3 linked regions of the Rattus norvegicus genome follow. The protein of the gene in region 3 interacts with the protein of the main gene of each other region in a pairwise test. Links are inferred from orthologs where the notes say so. Each region holds a gene or a part of one and is shown on either strand. Other genes may lie near its edges.

Evidence for each region.
Region 1: the proteins of Tmem218 (region 3) and Pcna interact in binary tests that used the Homo sapiens proteins (3 or more experiments, as listed by UniProt). The link is inferred for Rattus norvegicus from reciprocal best matches to the Homo sapiens genes TMEM218 and PCNA.
Region 2: the proteins of Tmem218 (region 3) and Creb3l1 interact in binary tests that used the Homo sapiens proteins (3 or more experiments, as listed by UniProt). The link is inferred for Rattus norvegicus from reciprocal best matches to the Homo sapiens genes TMEM218 and CREB3L1.

The regions. Positions count from the first base shown.
Region 1 is NC_086021.1:139,952,950-139,957,151, forward strand, and holds the start of Pcna (proliferating cell nuclear antigen), read right to left. Parts: upstream 2,872-4,202; 5' UTR 2,810-2,871; coding exon 2,589-2,809; intron 1,783-2,588; coding exon 1,685-1,782; intron 1,540-1,684; coding exon 1,472-1,539; intron 1,239-1,471; coding exon 1,044-1,238; intron 1-1,043. UniProt on the Homo sapiens protein: Auxiliary protein of DNA polymerase delta and epsilon, is involved in the control of eukaryotic DNA replication by increasing the polymerase's processibility during elongation of the leading strand.
Region 2 is NC_086021.1:98,417,959-98,421,610, forward strand, and holds part of Creb3l1 (cyclic AMP-responsive element-binding protein 3-like protein 1), read right to left. Parts: intron 3,365-3,652; coding exon 3,183-3,364; intron 1,202-3,182; coding exon 1,123-1,201; intron 1-1,122.
Region 3 is NC_086026.1:45,123,368-45,126,432, reverse strand, and holds part of Tmem218 (transmembrane protein 218), read right to left. Parts: intron 2,588-3,065; 5' UTR 2,587-2,587; coding exon 2,477-2,586; intron 1,674-2,476; coding exon 1,571-1,673; intron 1-1,570. UniProt on the Homo sapiens protein: May be involved in ciliary biogenesis or function.

The sequences.
Region 1 (4,202 bases), on a different chromosome or scaffold from region 3:
CTTGCACTTCAGACAAATACTGATAGATTGAATGTCTTGAGAAGTGAGGAGCTGAAGTTCACAGGGAAGTAGACATAATTCAGCAGAGTAAGGTTAAGAACTAGCTCTCTGAGTTGTGTGTATATCTATCTATGCTCTAATTCTTATACTTACATTTACTTTAAGTCTGTGCAGAGGACAAGAAAGTAACACCTTCTATTTACCTTACATACTTTGTGGTAAGCACTCTGAATCTCACCATATTAACCCTGAAATCTCACTTAGTTCAGACTTTGATGCTAAGGCTCGGTAGCAAAACTTAAAAGTGTAACCATGAAATATACATCTGATTCCTGAGAAAGCCTTGAGTCAGGGCTACTTAGGAATTAAGAGAACTAGTGTGTTCTGCTTGAATGAGGGCTTGCCAAGCATCTTCCCCTGCCATCCCAATTTCTTCCCCATTTTTTGAGATCCATTTTCTGCAAGGTAGACTTTAAACTGAGAATCATCCTGTTGTTGCTTTGAGTGTCACAGTTATGGGTTTGAGCCACCATGTCCAGCTTCCTCTAGGCACATAAAATGTCAGAGTATTCAATGCAACTCTTTCCGAGTTGCATGAAGTCTTATTTCCTTTGGTACTGTGGATATTCTTATTATTGTATTGAGTCCTGTTGCCTGTAGCTAGGCCTAAATTACAACCTAACTTTGCTCAGTCTGCTTTTGCACCATTAAATGAACTAGTAACTGAACCTACAACACATAAAAGCTATTAGAGGAGCTACATGATCCCAAGACTTTTACACCCCCAACCATTCCGTTCACTTGCTAATCCTCACTGATTTGTCAAGAGTATTTCCAGGAAGCAAAAGGTTGTACACTTAGCTTTCCAAATCCTGTCTGTAAAAGCTTATGTGGCATCATCTGAGTTCCAAGCCAGCTTGGTCTACTCAGAATGCCATCTCAAAATGAAAGAATGAATAAACAAACAGAAGTCAAGGCTTAATGGCTAAGCCGGCAATCCTGCTTCAGACACAGTTAGCTGGACGACACCTCTTGCTACTTACAGCTTCCTCTTCTTTATCAACATTGCTTGTCTGGGACAACTTAATGTTCCCATTGCCAAGCTCCCCACTCGCAGAAAACTTCACCCCGTCCTTTGCACAGGAGATCACCACAGCATCTCCAATATGGCTAAGGTCCCGGCATATACGTGCAAATTCACCAGATGGCATCTTTACTACGCAGCTGTACTCCTGTTCCTGTAAATGCAAGGTTAAAGGTCAGTCTAGAAAAGAGGAAGACTCAGCTTCATGTTCTCAAGTTTCAGCACCTTAACTAGAACTCAGAACACAAGACTTCTGATGTCTTTACAACTCAATCAAGTTTAGGCTGTTGTGGTCTGGTGAAATGGCAAACACCACAACTCCACTTTAGAACATGCATCAGCTGGTATCACAGCTTGGTAAAACACCATCAGAAACAAGATACTTACTGGGATTCCAAGTTGCTCAACGTCTAAGTCCATTAACTTCATCTCATAGTCTGAAACTTTCTCTTGATCTACCAAAAGAAATCCAAGTGTTACTGAAGCACATGTTCATATCTATGTTGTAAATTTACCACAACCCTGTTGTTTTTAATTGTGAGAAACAGAAACAGCACACTTTAATTTCTGTAGCAACTGAGTTTTAAGGGTGTAACTTACTTGGTGCTTCAAATACTAGTGCTAAGGTATCAGCATTATCTTCAGCCCTTAATGTAATGATGTCTTCATTACCAGCACATTTTAGAATTTTGGACATGCTAGAAAAAAAAAAGGACACAGGGCTTATCAACATCATGTCTCCACATTTACATTTTTAAATTTATATTTCACATTCATGATTGGAGAATTGTTAGGGAGGATAAGGGTACCCCGAACCCTCTCAGAGGTTAAGCAAATTATCGGGTATATGTGATCCTTAAAAATCGATTTAGTAAAATGCACTAAAAGCCAACATTCAAGAACGCATCCTTTTTAGTGGGGTGTCCTCGGTTTTCAGCGTACTGGAGAGTGTGCCCTATCGCGTCTGGCCTTTTCATAAATGTTTCAAAATGTATACAAGTGACACTAATCCATATATCTGTACCAAAATAAGTCACATATTGTCCTTGAAATGTATACAGGAGGCACTAACACAGGTAGTTGTAGCAAAGTTAAAAGCTAAAACTGAGATTTTCCTGCAAATCCATGACGCGCAGTGAGATTCTAGAAGTCAAGAAAAGGCCTATCGTCACTCTAAGACTCTAAGTCGACAGTCCTTTTTCACCAGAACTCGCTTATTAGGCGCTAAAATCGGCCAGAAAAAGCTGCAGGCACTTAATGAGCGCAGCTCGGAAGCACGCATTTTCCCGCTGACTACCGCTTTGTGGCTTTGGCGCGGGAAAAAAGTAGGCGCGACAGCCAGCGCGGGCTTTTCGGAACCGCGCGCTTTGGTGGGTGATGTCCCCGGCACCACAGGCCAATCAGAAAGCGCGGACGGCCATGCCAGCCAATGCGAGTGCAGGAACACAGCCCCGCCAAGAGCCGAAGCGGGAGGGATGGGGCCCAGCTCCCGCCACCCGCTCACCTGGTGAGGTTCACGCCCATGGCCAGGTTGCGATCGCAGCGGTATGTGTCGAAGCCTTCGGAGCGCAGAGTAAGCTGCACTAAGGAGACGTGAGACGAATCCATGCTCTGTAGGTTCACGCCGCCCGAACTGATGTCCCAGCAGGCCTCATTGATGAGGTCTTTGAGGGCCTCCAGCACCTTCTTCAGGATGGAGCCCTGGATCAGGCGTGCCTCAAACATGGTGGCGGAGTTGCGACGTCTAGATGAGAGTTACTGTAAGGGGAGCGAGGTCTTGCTGACAAGGTACCCCGACTCACGATGCAGAAGTAGCGTGAAGACCAGGAGGGACGATAACCAGTCACCTGCGCCCGCAACCGTCTAATGCCGCGGCTTCCTAGGCGCGCGCTCTTTCAGTGCGCGAGGTTGTGGCGTCACAGCGCTGACCCACCCACCTCTCCTCTAGAACCAATCGTATCCGTGGTTTGAGCAAGGCCCGCCCCGCCGCGTATACAGAGGCGGAGCTGTGCGGTAAGAGCGTGGGAGGCGAGGGGCATCACGGGGTTCGCGTAGGCTGTCGTCACCGCCGGTGTTGGAGGGAGCTTAGGCTGTGGTTTCCATGTTCCTTAGGAAGTTTCTGCGCCACGGAAATGAAAGCCACTTGCAGTGCGCGGCGGCCTGCCTTGAAGAGGGAGACTGTAGTTCCTTCAAACACAGTGGAGTGCGTTTCTTTTACTACTGCGTAAAAAATATGCCGCAAAATATTGAGTAATAAAGAGGCCATCTTATCTGAACACTCCCCAATTTCATAACACTTACCTGGGTGCTTCGCTCTGAACTTTCCTCCCTAAAGATTTAAAAAAAAAAATGCCTCTTAACGCGAACGCTTCTGCAAAGATATATAGTTCATGTGTACCACGTAATTAGTTTCCTGTATGGTTGGTTTCTTTTATATTTTTAAAGGTAGATATTAGTATTTTCATCTTAGTTTTAGGCTTAAGATGAACCCAAGCCTGAGCCCCATCTTGAAAATATTAGCTGTTGCAGGTGAAGCGTCTTTCATATGTCCCTGGGCTGCAGCATTTTGTTCTACTAAAACTTCTTTTTCCTATTGATTATGAGGATGGAGAAGAACTGAATGTAGGTAATGGGCATCATTTACAAAAGGATATAAATGATTTCTATTTCTAATGCTTTTTCTCTTGGTTTTGGTGGTAGATAAAATATATTTGATAGTGGAAGTGTAAAACTTCCAGCTTCCATTTGGAATGCCTCTTCTAACTGTAGACACAACTTTTGGTGTGTGATGTTTTATTTATTTGCATTTTTTTTTTTACTAATAAGACATATAAAATTTCAGAAAGTTAAAAGGATTGTTTTAGCTGGTAAGAGTGTTTTACAGCTAATTCCAGCACATGGGAAGGCTGAGGTGGGAGGGCCTAGATTTAAACTCAGCTTGGACTATCTACCAAGACTGACACGAAGGGGGAAAAAGGAATGGTTTACGTATGAAAATATTAACCACATATCATGTGTATTTATTCTTCCCTTATTTACAGCATTTCTCTTTAGCTTGTCTTGTTTGATTTTTCTTTTCCTGGCTTGGGGATTTAGGCAGGACATTGTATAACAACTC
Region 2 (3,652 bases), on a different chromosome or scaffold from region 3:
GGGGCAGAGGAATTCCCCTGCCACCTTGGGGAGGAGCCTCTGGGCTGCAAGCTTCCCTACCCACAGGATTCAGGTTTCTAAAGTCCCAGTTCTGTAAGTCCAGAGGGGACTAAGGTCAAACCAGACCCATGGGGCTCAGGCTGACCAATGTCCTTCCATTTCCTTTCTCTGAGTCAACAGTATGGGTCCAGTCTCAGGGTAATAGGGTGAGTGGTAATGAGTGGATGTGTGGTGGAGTGACAGATTCATTGATGAATGGACAGGTGATAGATGGATAGAAAGATGGGTGGATGGATGGATGATGGATGGACAGTGGGTGAATGGGTAAGTGGGTGAATGGGTAAATAGTTGAGTAGGGGAGGGCTGGAGAGATGGCTCATGGTTTAGAGCACTGACTGCTCTCCCAGAGGTCCTGAGTTCAAATCCCAGCATCCACATGGTGGCTCACAACCATCTGTAATGAGATCTGGTGCCCTCTTCTGGTGTGTCTGAGGACAACTACAGTGTACTTATATAAATAAAAATTAATAAAAATAAAAAATAACAGTTGAGGCTGGGGATTTAGCTCAGTGGTAGAGCGCTTGCCTAGGAAGCGCAAGGCCCTGGGTTCGGTCCCCAGCTCTGAAAAAAAAGAACCAAAAAAAAAAAAAAAAGGGCTGGAGAGATGGCTCAGTGGTTAAGAGCACCCGACTGCTCTTCCAGAGGTCATGAGTTCAATTCCCAGCAACCACATGGTGGCTCACAACCATCTGTAAAGAGATCCGATGCCCTCTTCTGGTGTATCTGAAGACAGCTACAGTGTACTTATATATAATAAATAAATAAATCTTTAAAAAAAATAAATAAATAACAGTTGAGTAGGGGGTGGATGGATGGGTATATGGATGGAAGAAAAGACGTGTGGTGGCTATAAAGTGTGTTTTCCGCTGTGGAGTGGATGGAAGGAGGCCAGAAGAAATGGAAGAAGGAGAGGGGATGTGATAGACAAGGAGCGAGAGATTGAGAAGGTGAGAGCATTTGGGGGGAAGCCGGAGTTTTGAAGAACAGGGGTGGTCTAGATGGAGGGAGTAGGATGCCGTCTGTCTGTCCATGATCAGGAGTCTCTCTCATGTACACACTTACCTTGTGTCACTTTGAGAAACTGGCTCATTTCCGGGGGCTCTGCTTTGATCACTGGCAGCTGAGTCATTTCTCCTGGGGCCTGAGGAAGAGACAGATTCATCTTCTCAATCACCTGCCCCTGGGACAATCCCCATCAAGCGTTCACTCTCTTCCCTCCCTTAGGCTGGAGGTTTGCCCTGCATAGAGGAATGGCTGGCCTCAGGAGTTCTGGGATCAGTTCAGCAAGAACAGAGAGGCAAGTCCTCATCTTGGGAAAGCCATACAACAGCGAAGATCAGAGAGAATGGTGGCTGCACACTGTAGGTCTGAACTGAGTCTCAGGAAGGGAGAGTTCCTACGGTATCCAGGGCCGTGCCACCTTCCAGGTAGAGGCTGACCCTTCGCTGTGAAAGCCATGTAGGCCTTGGTATGTGGTTGCCATGAGCACAGGAGGTCATGTTAGTCCCACTGTAGCTGTTGGATGAATGGGATCAATAGTTCAGGAGGAATTAATTGGCCACAGCTCAAAGAAAGCTGCCGGAGCTGAAAGGTCATGTGGATCCTGGGTTACAAATGGGAGTGGAGCCCAGTCCAGGAAGCTTGCAGCAGTGAGAACCCTTGAGGGGCGTCAAGTTAGGCCTGGGTACAATCAGATGTACATTCTTTAAAAAGTATTTAAATTCCAAAGTGATGTTCTAGTTATGGCTTCAGGAACATGTGTGGTTTTGTACATGTGGATTTCACCAGCATGCATGTAAGTGGTGGTCTATGAGAAAGCATGGCTCTTGGGACTGTCTCTCCCCACTGGGTCTGCTGCCAGCAGAGGGGTCCAGGAACTTGGCCATTCCCTGGTCTTCACTCAGCTCAATGGCAGCACTATGGGACCTGAGGGGACCTGAGGGGAGTGTGGAGTGGTGGCAGCCCTTTGGGGGTTCAGGTAGTTACAGCCTGTCTTCTGTGTCCTACACTGGCAGAATGGGAGTCCTCCGCTCTAGGGTCTGACAGGCCAAGCTCAGCTGCATGATTTAGGGCTTAATCCCAGAATCCTGTTTCATTTTCTACTGCAGCCCCTTCTTCCTTCTGATTTTGGCCGCACTCGATCTAGAGTCTCTGGGGATCAAGCTGGTCATTAGTCCTTGACCTTGAGGACAGGGAAGGGTGGCCTTTCTTCCTTATGCCCACCTACTCTGAAGAGGTAACCTGGGTGGCCAGCAAACTCCCAGGCTAGAGATTAGTACTTATTTACTTTTATTTTTTAAATTCTATTTATTTAATGTATGAGTGCTCTGCTGCATATACATCTACTGGCCAGAAGAGGGCATCAGATCCCCTTATATAGATGGTTGTGAGCCACCCTGTGGTTGCTGGGATTTGAACTCAGGACCCCTGGAAGAGCAGCCAGTGCTCTTAGCCGCTGAGCCATCTCACGTTCCCTAGTGTTTATTTTTTTAAACTATAGGATTTTAGGCCGCGTGACTTGCACCTACTTGACAAAGAAGGAAGCTGAAGTAAAAAGAGATGGCAAAATGCCCAGAGCACAGTAAGGAAACAAACCTGGCCCAGCAAAGCCTCTCCCAGAAGCCAGTGATCTGAGCCTCGTTCCTGGAAGGGTCTTGGATTTGTAGCTGTTACCTATGCACTCCAGAAGTGGAGGCAGGGATTCTCACGAGCGTGGTTTATTAATCTAAATACAAACTAATTAAGATGCAACTCCTTTTTTCTTTCTTTTTTTTTTCTTTTTCTTTTTGCATTGACATGTTGACCTTTCTCTAAATCCTGGAACTCAAAGGGAAAGGAAGTATCCTGGGGTATCTCCCATTCATATAACCTTCACTACCCCTCAACCCTGCCTGGCACCTTGCAAGCTTTCTCTGATGCAGGGAGGGCCCAGCGTGCATGGAGGGCACTGTTATCTGTGTCTGCTGGAGGATGGGGAAGGGGTGGTCAGTATGGGAGGCAGAAGTTCCTCAGCTACCTAAGTTCCCAGCATGGAGCAGTCCAGGACATTGGGTGTGACTGCCTTCCCTCTCCCCTCCGTCTCCCTCCCTCCCTCAGTCCCTGTGAATAGTCCCTAGGCTTACCTGGTGAGGGATGGGCAGCCTGGAGATGGGGCTGAGGCCCAGCAGTGGTGGGGTGGCCATGGTAGCAGCAGCCATGGCGGAGGAGGCAGCCAGGGGGTCAACCGGAAGCTCCGGGCTCTGCTCCTGCTTCACCATAATGGAGCACAGTTTGTTTCCCAGTGCCCATGCTCCGTGTTCCATATCTGGTGGGGGATGAAGTGTGAAAGACTCAGGGTCAGGGGTTCCCGGAGCACAAAGCTCTGACCTACTGCCTACTGGTGAGTGCCTGGGACTGAGGAATGATGTCAGAATGCCCATCTGGAAGCTGGCAGCAAACCCGGGCCACTCTTGTGAAGTGAGATAGGTGGGCTGGAACCAGAAGAGGCATGAACATCCTTGTATTTAGACACTGACTGAACAGGCTTGGCCTCTGAATCTAGACCTCTCCTGGCCTGCTGTGTGACCTTCAGCAAGCTGCTTACCCTCTCAGA
Region 3 (3,065 bases):
AAGCTCCAATTCTGCTGGCCATGCTGACAAACATGTTTTGCTCAATCCTGGTTGTCTCCTGGGTCCGAAACTCATATGACGGAGGAGAGGGTTTGATTTGAAAATGTGCCTTTTCTACTAGTCACACCTGCAATAATTACAAACATGGTAGCGTGTATCACTCTCTTCTCCTAAAAACAAAGAAACTGGGGTAGGCCATTTGCAGAGAAGAGCCTGACACCCAAGGGAATGACTCCTGGAATCTGTGTGGTAAGCATAATTTCCCTTAGAGTTTCCAGAGCTAATTTCCTTCTTCTCGCCGTCATTAGTCTCAGGTAGAGCTGGAAGTGTGTGTTCATTTTACTTCAAAATATTATGTAATTTTATGGACTATGTCAGATTGACAATCTGTCAGATTTGGAGAATGGTCTTTGATATTCTATTGAGTTCCAACAAGTGTGAAGATTTTGGGGGGGGGTGATGGAGTATGTTTTTTGAGACAGGGTTTCTCTGTGCAGCTCTGTCCGTCCGGGAAGTCACTCTGTAGACCAAGCTTCCCTCAAACTCAGACATCCACTTGCCTCTGCCTGCCACACGCTGGGATTAAAGGCGTGCGCCACTGCCCGGCACACTTGAAGATTCTGAGGACAGAGCCCAGCTTAAATCCTTGCTCTGCTCTTCCTGGAGTGTGGATTTGAGCAGGTCACCTGACCCTCTTACCCGGAAAACAAGAGTACCTAACTTAGGGTTGCCAAGTGGTTTCAAAGAGACAATGTAAACAAGGTGTTTAGCACAGGTCTCTGAATACAGTAATCCTTTAAGAATGTTAACTACTAGCATGGCTTCTACTCCTAAATTAAAATAGCTATTGGGAGGAAATCAGAATACCACAAGAAGATGTCATGGGACAGACAGGTCAGTACCCTTAGCAAGAGCCTATGGGTCTGAGAGCAGCCACACACGGTAGAACCAGCCTCAAGTCAGGAATGAACCAGAACAGGTGAGGTCTCAGAAATGGGACAGTGGCAGGGGTGGTGCAAATCTATTTACAAAAGTAGGGGCTGGCAGATGTGGTCTAGGGGATGAATATGACACTCATTGGTATAGAGCGCATCTGTAATTCACCTTCTGCTTCCCATAGAAAGGCTCCTCTTACCTACTGTTCTTGATGGAAATGACTCTCTTAACACAACAGTGGAAAAAGTCCCTCAGGATGGAAAAGCACCCCGAGAGCAGTACACCCATTTAGACCAGGACCTGAGACTCTGAACCAATGCTACCAGGAGTGGGGAACACGGCACTTACAGCCTACGCCAGCCAGTTCCTGGTTCCTAACTCTCTTCTCTTCCTGTCTATAAGTAAGGAGTGGCTTTCTACACTGTCATTCAACTTGATGCAAGTGGCAAATGACGTCACACCAGATAAATCGCTGCCCGGTGGTGCTGCTGCTGCGGGTGAGATCCTTAAGACCCTTTTGCAGGGTAAAGGGACAGGAGCCCTGCAGCTCCTTTGGCGACTCACTGCTTGAACAGCTCTCAGGGCAGGGTGGAGGGGCTGAGATTAGGAGCAAAATGAAACCCAGTAGCTTTACCTTCATTTCACCTTGTGGGGCCGGGAATTCACTGGCTCGAGGGAAAAGCAATAGAACTGTGGTGATGATCAGAGCACCCAGGAAGACGAAGATGATGGAGAACCTGGGAGCAAAGAGACCTGAGTATCAGAAGCACTGTGGACTGTCTACTTCTAACCGGTAGGCCTGTGCTGGGGTCACAGGCCTGTGCTGGCTTGTCCCTGAAGGACCACAAAGTCCTCCACCCCGAAGCCTTGCTTCCCAGGACAGGTACCAGCTGGGTATCTTCCTATTTATTCCTGGTAACTCCCAATTCCTAACAATGGGAATTCATCGTTTTCTGCACAAAGTGTCCATTCATGCGTATAGCATACACATCCCTCCCATTCCCACACACCTTTGTTCTTTCAGACCAGAACACTTCGGCAAATACTGCAGCTGTCTGTTTATTACTGTTCATAACCCTGACATTGTGTATCTCAAGTGTCTCCAGGATTAGGTTATAGCTTGGTACTGAGGGCCAGGCCGTCTCACTGTAAACTTCAGTGTCTGTGGGCCCATGGTAAAGTCTTAAGGATTGGACCAAGCATGTGCCATAAATCTGAACAATTAGACAAAACTTCTGCCTACAACTCCCAAGGAACTCAAGAGCAGCCAAAGTAGATTTTCTCGTCATCTCTGCCTCCCTCCCACCATCCATCTCCTCCACAGTGAGAACTGAAGAACACGCTTCCGTTGCCCTCCCACCTCTGCCTCAGAGCATAAATAACACAGTTAGTGCTTATGATAAGAGGTTAAAATGCAACTCGTTCAAACTGCCAGTAATTACAAAAATGATCTTCTGAATTCTAAATGTTTAATGAGCGTCAGCGATTTTTACCTCTAATTGCTTTTACCTAGGACTCCCGGCTGGAAAGAATGCCTTACCTAGCTATCCCAGAGGCTCTGCATAACAGCACACACAGCAGCAGCACCAACACCCAGAGCAGAGCGAGGAGGAACACGCCAGCACCCACTCCCAGCACCATGCCAGCCATCCTAGGGGACAGAGAGCAGCATTAGCCTCTGGTTGCCCCCCTCCCCTCCTGTGTGTGCCTACTGTTCAGACATCGCAGAAAGCCTGGACTCGGTGTGAGGAGTCTTGGTGACCACTATGTCAGGAGGCTCACTCATGGTCTTTAATTTTCAGGGATGTCCAGCCCCAGAGCCCCTTAATGAAAACTGGGAATGCAGAACCCAGAGCTCTCTTTATGTGTGAATAGGGGTGGGGATTGGGGGAGGGGTGTTGGATGGAGGCTGCTTTCTACTCTGCCTATTGTCATTTCAAATTCAGGCTCTTCGGCTCCACTTTGATTTCTGGAGCCCACATTAGAAATCTGAGCTCTTTTTCTTCCACAAAACTTAACCAAGTCTTCTTCAAAGGCTACAGAAAGCCAAGGCTTCAGTTAAACTTAGACTCAGCAGGCAATCACAAGACAGAAACTTCCACTCTGCTGTCAAGTTCTCATTCACAGAA